Lepisosteus oculatus: one gene and its partner. The protein of the gene in region 1 interacts with the protein of each later gene in a pairwise test. Links are inferred from orthologs where the notes say so. Each region holds a gene or a part of one and is shown on either strand. Other genes may lie near its edges. The genes, in order: zc2hc1a and castor1.

Region 1 (3,925 bases):
ATGTCATATCCCCCATACTGGAATGAAGGATCGAGTTTAGTTCAGTGCTCGCCTTCCATCTCCCACAGCAAAATACTTTAAATAATTTGGCAAAGACAAACACTGGATTATTAGCAGTAATTAGCATTATCTTTATGTCGCAAAGAACGGAATGTGTGCTGTTCTGCAACACACAAATCTGCTAGCCAGCTGCTACTCTTCCCCAGACTTGAGAGGCAGACAATAAGTTACTATATTAAACAAAGCGACTGTTGGCCACGAACTACTGCTTGGACAATGGCTGCAATAGATACAGTACAGGGCTTAAACAGCTTGCAGGCACTTACAGACTATGTACGCTGCATGATCTGAAATGTGTTATGCAGGATGCAGGACATCAGTTTGTTGAAAATACTGTATATCTTTGTTAGAAATAAGTACGTTTATTTAAAGTTATAGCAATTCTATTTTTTTACTTTTCTGTTATGATTTGTAAAGATATTTCTTTAACCCACGGGCGAAATTAAGAATTTAATTTAATGTAATTCAATTAAGGGTATAATATATTGGGGCCTTAGGCCTTACAAACTGAAGAATGTACATGATCCGTTGAAAACAATAATCTAGTATGCAAATAGTTTATTGGCTTTCTTACTATACAGTCCATTGAATGAAGACGTAGCCCGTGATTCTAACCGGCGTGGACACAAAGGCATCTCTAAAACTGTGGCGATTATTCCATCAGTGAGAATCAGTTTGATACTCTCCCAATTAGAGTACCTCAATCTGTTTTTATGTCCTTATGGCTGTCTGTAACGGCGTAGGCACTTTATAACAGAGCTGTCAGAGTAACCCCTAAAACGCACTACATTTACGATTGACAATGATGAAAGGAACGTACGAGGACTGCATGTGCTGTGTGTTCATACACAGTCTGCACAGCATCTATAAGGAGTTTGTTGTAGGATACATACTGTACGCACATGCGTTTCACTGGCCGAAGTTATCTCATGGTGAAGGCTGTGTTAAAGGTAACACAGCTGTCGGTGGCTGCTAATTTTGTCTTTGTATTGGCAGGAATAAAGAGGTCTCTCTTCATATACAGGAGCTGCGGCTCCTTCGGCGCTCTGAAAAGGCAAGAGCCTGCACGGTGGACTCCGGGTTGTGCACACGCCTGGAGATCACCTTTCTCCTGTTCCCGAGTGCCGAAAAATACTGTGTACAGGTACGGTACTTAACAAGGAACGCCCTTCTCATATACAGTCCTGTGCACACTGGGTCCAGTACTGGGTCTGTATGTAGTCCTGGTACACGACGTCACTTTCACCGTTGCCACATGTGCCTGCATTGCGCTTCAGATCTCATTCCGATACCTGAGCACACGAAACGTTCAAACTGAAGCCGGTGGTATAAACTGAAGCCCTGGCTGCTTGTACAGTAATGGCGAGCCATTGCACGGCGTTGACTGCGTCTCCGCTTGGACTCGGAGAAAGGGCTTTGAGCTGAGGAAGACGGAGGTCTTCACAGGTGCTTCCAATATGTTTAAGATACCTAATATTACACTACAATAGCACACGTTAAGAAAATATTACAGTACAGAAGCGAGTATCGCTTGAATGTTAGGCTGTGAGTTCCAAGTCCAGGAGCACAAAGACCGACTCTGAACTTCACCATAAATCTAAGACGCAGGGAAACACAACTTCCGTTTTCACGTTATTTAATGAAAAAAATAAACGTTTTAAGATCAAATAAATTCACAACACTGAAGCTCCAAAGCTTTCTGAATGTTTCTGCAGTAACAGCCCTTTTCCCCAGAGTTTCCCAGCTGGTATCAGATGGGAATGGGTGAACAGGTTGTAACCGACGCAGTCAAACGTTTCAGGTCTGATCGTTGCAGAGTTTTTGCGAGAAACAAAGAGAAATGACAGACATCTAGACAATCACTAATCGAAACAATAACTTGCACTCTCAAATGTTTTTGTTTTCATTTCAGTTTGAACGCTTATAAAAGAAAATCTTAATAAAATACGGATTACAATGCGAACCTGCATAGCGATTCATGCAACCCCAATAGAAATAGTAAGAACTGAGATATTTCCGCTTTGCAAGTGGTTGGTCGTTTTTGGTGGATACTACAGACACCCTGATAGTTTTAAAACATTACATGTGAATAGTTTGTGGAGCAATTCAAATGGGTTCTGCTGACGGAATACTTATTTTTGTAATTGAAGAAAAAAAAAGTCTGTGACAAAGGACGAGACCTCTCTTTCCAGGGAAATTGTAGGGGAATGCCGCACAAGTTTCTAGATGTGCGGGGGCTGACAGATATTTAGGACGAGGCAAAGCACGGGAGGCCGCATGCAGTCATTCCCATCGCAATCTGCCGTGGATATTCTCCCTCTCCCTCCCTCCGCCTCGGGAGAGCATCCCGGAATCCCGATGACATCATTAGACAGCCAGAATGGCAGGAGAGGAGCGCTCTCGGTAGTGCAGTCCCGACACAGAGACAGGAGAGGCCGCCTTTCAAAATCCGCTTCCTGCGTTGCAATGACTGGACTGTCAGAGCTTTAAAAGGTACAGTACGTGCTACAAGGGGGTCAGCCAGACCGGGGCGGCGATAACGTTTTCACCGGGTTCAGCGTCATGATACCCAAGAAAACACATCTGCAGAACGAAATCCTTCAGCTGTACATTGTGTGTGCGGGCTATACACAGAACACGTAACTGCTAGTGTGTCTTTATAATGGCATTTATATTTCGCTATGTACAGTACGTTCGTGTTTTGGAACTGTAAATATTCGCCCCAGTCGCTGGTTATCCGCAAGGTTTTATAAGGTAAGCCTCCGTGGAGTCGACCTTTATCTTGCTGGGGGAGGGGCGAGGGGGTGGTTGCTGTACCTGAAATCGCTGTGTGAGAAACCGCTTCAAAAACAGCGACGATCAGAGCTGCGGTGCGCCTGGGCGATGTCCGTCCATCGCCGAAAGTGGTTTCCCTGCGGCGGTGCGCTTGAGAGAAAGCGCTGCGCATTGTGCGCTTTGTGCGCTTTGTGTGCTGGTGCTGTCCTTTGTGTTGTTTACAGCGGGGTCGCCGTCGCCGCTCCGGAGAAACGCGCTTATCATGTCCTCCTCCTGTAAGGCCTGCGGACGGTGTAGCTGGGTGGTATAGGCTCGGATTCAGGCACGCCGTGGTTTTTATGTATATCAAGGTCTCTTTTTTTCTCTCTCTGTGAATCGAGAAGCGTGTTTCAGATTGGAGTATTCCGCCGCTGGCCCTCTTATTTCAAGGGATAGGTGATCGAGGAGAAGCCATGTTTTAGTGTACAGTGAAATTCTGAACTTGACTGGGTGACGGGGGAATTCTTTTTGCAAGCATGTCATTTTAGGTTTCGTGACAGGTGCCTTTCCCACAAGATAGATAGGTGAAGGATAGCATGAGAACACAGGCCACAGAGTACTGTACCTGCACTCTTGGTTTCAGGATGCACTGGCTGATCTGATTTACCCCTCACCGGAGGTGTGTACTGTATGTGGCAGTTCCGGTCCAGTATTAACCTTTAGACTGGTTTTAAATCCATATGCCAACCGTGAGCCTCACCCACACAGGGGGACTGACAGTGGATAAAACTGCCCGGAAAGTGTGGGCATGCACTGCGCCTGCCCTCGGGGGGACAGGCCCAGACTGTGCGAAAGAGCCAGCATCCCAGTGGCCACATGCTCTCGGCAAGAGAGAAACTCTTGAAAGGTGTTGGGACCCGTCTGACCCACTCTGTGCCTTGGGTGGCTGCCTCACCTGACACAGCTCTGGGGCTGTGACTCTCCCTGTCATCGCAGACTCTCGGAGACCTCCACAGAGGCTCCTCTGAGGCAGAGAGTGGATGACAGATCGTCAGCTGAGTGCTGATGAGGCAATTAGACCACTGATTAGACCGCGAGAGATACGCTTTCA
Region 2 (3,925 bases), on another chromosome or scaffold:
AAAGAAAGGACTTCCAGTTATTTTCTAAAAATTGCTCCACAGGCCACCTGCAGTGAACACTGCTCTCTCTCTTTTTCAGCAGTCTGTATAAACAGTGATGCTATGCAAACATGTTTATAGTGCAAGCACAGCATCTACCTGGAGGCATTGCAAACTTAGAGAGGTGCATAAAAAAATAAATAAACAAGACATAACAATTCTACCTAAACACCTTCATGGAATAAGTCATAAGATCATGCTCTAAAAACCGCAGGCTTCACATTCAGGATCAAAAGCAAAGCTCAAAGAGTGAAGTAGCTGGCGATATGCTGTAAAACAAAATAATTTCTAATTTTTTCCCTCCCCAACTCTTGCATAACTGAAGCCATCACCATTAAATGGGCAAATATCCCAGTCTCTCCAAAATGTTAGACTTAAAACCATCATCTGTTTGTGCTTTCTGCTTTCAAAGACAGGAAAATCTAAATACAGTGCCCATTAATTATTAACTCTCCAAGTTGAATTTTTGCAACTAAATTCTTACACAAAGAAAAACTTTCATGAACAGATGATCCTTGTGGAGTACAAGGTACACTACCTTTAAAACAGACAGGGACTTTTTTTATAACTACAATATTTTAATTGTTTTATGGGCTTAGATTTAGCCGTCTCCCCCTTTAAATATGATCAATAAAATAGTTAAATAAGTTTTTGTATAGGAGAATTTCACCTATCCCCCAGAGTTTACCATTAACAAATGTATACATAGATACAAAGCAAAATCTCTTCTGAGAATACTTTCAACACAGAGGACAGTCCACGCTTTATTTCCTGAAACGCCTAACAATGCTGTCGTTGCAATATACAGATTACTTATTTTTATGAAGAAAAAAAAATCCTATATACAGGTTTGGAAAGCAAGAGTTCACCCCTGAAACAGCAGAAAAACAACTAAGCAAACAGATGTGCTGTCTGCCAGATTAATGCTTGAGTATTACTGGAGAAACCAGCTAGACACTGATGTAGCTGGCTTTTACATAAACAGCAGTCTGTCAGATCTGAATTTATTTTGTTCAGCAAGGCGTAGCTCATTTTTGTAGACCAAAAATAAACCAACTTTCAACAATTATACTAAAGGTCAATAACAATCACAAACTTAGTTAACCTTTAAAAACTAGGAGAAAGCTTAGAGATCCCCTCTAAACTCCGTAGAAATTACATTATGATAAAAGCGCACTGATTTTGAGAGCTCAGTTTTGCCATTTGCCATTTAAAAAAAAAACGTTGGAGTAAAACATAAATAATGCTGAAGACAACTTTGTGATGAGTGCATATATTTGCAGTTCAAAGTTAGGTTAACAGTTATAGAAATTAATTAATCCTTTTGTGAACGACATTATTGCATCACCATCATATTAAAGTCAGGTGGGGTTAAAACAAGTCGTGACATATAGGTTTGTCCAGTCTGTACTTAAAACAAAAACGGTCTATATACTGTACTGTTTGCTAAACTCTACTGATTTGTCAGTGGCGTCCCTTCTAGTTGTTTCACTCGAGCTTTCCAAACGCTAATTAAGGTGTTCCGGTAAATAATTTAAAACACTATACTGTGCTTCTGCAGTTCCATAGACTAAGTTACAAAACACAGGCAGATGTCACAGAGAAATTATCTTAAACGTTTACACTTGGCACACTGAAAGGACAGTACGTACAAGTTTTCTCATGTCCTTGCAAGTCAAACAAACCCTCTTATCGACACGTAACCAAAGCAGGGGAAAAAACGAATAAAATAAAGAAGTAAAACCTGTACAAATGACACTTTCAAACACGCCAGTTATCCTCCTGATCAGTTAAAACAAAAAGACGAAGTGGTATCCCTGGCATTTAGACAAAGCAGTATTTGCAAAGCATTAAACAACACCTGATACTTTAAGGTAACTTCTCCGCTTAATTAACACACGCGTCCACTAAAAAAGTGACCCTATTTACATGCATAACACTTTTCGTTCATCAATTTCATGGGTGTCATATATTGCTTTACCAGTGTGCTACTGGTCACATCGTTTTAAGCACTCTACCCCTTGTAAACTATAGCAGTTAGGCCTTTCCATCAGCTACAGAGAGTTGGATGATGATATGCTTATGTTTATATTTCGATGTGAACGATACTAGGGCATGTAGCAACATTGCATTTCCAAATATTGTAAATGTTACCAGCAACTGATGTCATCCAGCTGGAAACTTAATTGGTTAAAAAAAATGTCTTTCTTCGCCTTACCTCGTCCTGTTACGAAGAAAAATGAGTTTGATCAATGGGTGAGTGAAATTCATTAACCCATCTTTACAGATGCTAGTCACTTTCAGTCTATGGTCTAGTATATGCAAATCCATGCTCTTGTTTGTTGTTTTCAACGGTGCCTAAAATTAACTAAGTCACTAAGAGCACAGCTTGCGGGGGACTTCTGGAAATGACTCCCCGTTTCTAAAGACTTGCAACGGTCTAGTAGTGTTGTGTTGCATTCCCCTGCAAGCACCCGATCGCCATCCCCCGTCTTGCATCATTCAGCGAATAAGAATACAGCGCAATCCGACTCCGAAGCAAAGACATTTAAATAAAAGACAGGCCTATGAAATTGCATACGCCCCCTCGCACTTAAAGGGACAGGGACTGGAGATAGCTGCTGCTGCTCTTTTTGTGTCATCCCCCCTATACAAGCTGCAGCACAGTATGTTAACGGTGCATGTACAGTACTGTTACAGAGTGCTGAATTTCATGTTTTGTTCTGTAGTCCTTCATAAAGAACTACAGTACTGCAAAGAAAAAATGAATTGAGTGAAAAAGGAGTCAGTCCAGGCAGCTATTCATTGTCAGACATTTTCAAATAATTTACTGTATTCATCGTGCTGGATATAGAAATCTATTTCGCCTTATTTGTACTCACTAAACCAATAGTTTCATAAGCTAATAGAACGGGGGTATTAAGCCCGGTGACCTGGATATGGCTTTGATGTTGACACCTGCGAGTGTTACAGTAAGCTGCGAGCAGCCTTTAACTTTTCTCTGGTTTTTCTGCAGGGTTCTGTCCTCGACGCCAAAACCCAAATACTGTTCGTACCATGCCTTGTCAGATGACCTTGTTCAAACAAGGGTGTTGGCCTGCTGCGAGAACATCTTAACATTCCATTATAAACATTATATCCTTCACACTCTATGTTATTTAATGAGCTAAATAAATATTGTTGTTTTTTCACTACAATGTTTGTTTTATTTATATAATACAGGGGGAAACAGTTTTTCAAAAATACTATCTGACATATACAACATATATAGTACAGTCAATCTACTTTCCTTTGCAATATTTAATATAAATGATATAAATTCATGTTTTGAAAAGATGCTAAAGATATGTACAGTATTAAGTACAAAATATTGATCTCCCCGATCAGCCACTGAAGACAATACACTACATGCAATAGTTGAATACAATTAAACGTTTCAGTGTTCTCTTTTAATACTATTTTAGTAGAATAGACTACATTTTGACTGATAGAGCATATTTTTTAATTTACTACAGCGACATTCTTTCTCTGTTCATTTTTAGAATAAATGCCTATTATCCATTTCATGCCTAAGACACAGCACTGTAGACTCACTGCAAACAAATTGTCCTTTCCAAATTGTAAGTAAATTATTTTACATTTGTGTTATTTTGCTGAGTTGTATACAATGGAAAAGTACAAAATGTACTGTAGACAGCTGGACATTTTACTAGAGAAATCTAAGTACCTCGCTCAAAGTAACAATAGCTACAGTACTGTATGTCACACATCATGATTTAAATTTACCCCCCACACACACACTTGTCTGGTTTATTATTAATCAGTATTTCTATCTGCTGCAGGCATTTTGTTTCCCTTTCTCTGCTCAAAAACAAAGTGTGCAAGA

What was found.
Region 2: the proteins of zc2hc1a (region 1) and castor1 interact in binary tests that used the Homo sapiens proteins (3 or more experiments, as listed by UniProt). The two-hybrid records come from large-scale screens. The link is inferred for Lepisosteus oculatus from reciprocal best matches to the Homo sapiens genes ZC2HC1A and CASTOR1.

Annotation. Positions count from the first base shown.
Region 1 is NC_090701.1:1,211,585-1,215,509, forward strand, and holds the start of zc2hc1a (zinc finger C2HC domain-containing protein 1A), read right to left. Parts: upstream 3,167-3,925; 5' UTR 3,008-3,166; coding exon 2,878-3,007; intron 2,815-2,877; exon of another isoform or gene 2,560-2,814; intron 2,554-2,559; exon of another isoform or gene 2,412-2,553; intron 1-2,411.
Region 2 is NC_090717.1:4,660,394-4,664,318, reverse strand, and holds the start of castor1 (cytosolic arginine sensor for mTORC1 subunit 1), read right to left. Parts: upstream 2,571-3,925; 5' UTR 2,371-2,570; coding exon 2,258-2,370; intron 1-2,257. UniProt on the Homo sapiens protein: Functions as an intracellular arginine sensor within the amino acid-sensing branch of the TORC1 signaling pathway. As a homodimer or a heterodimer with CASTOR2, binds and inhibits the GATOR subcomplex GATOR2 and thereby mTORC1.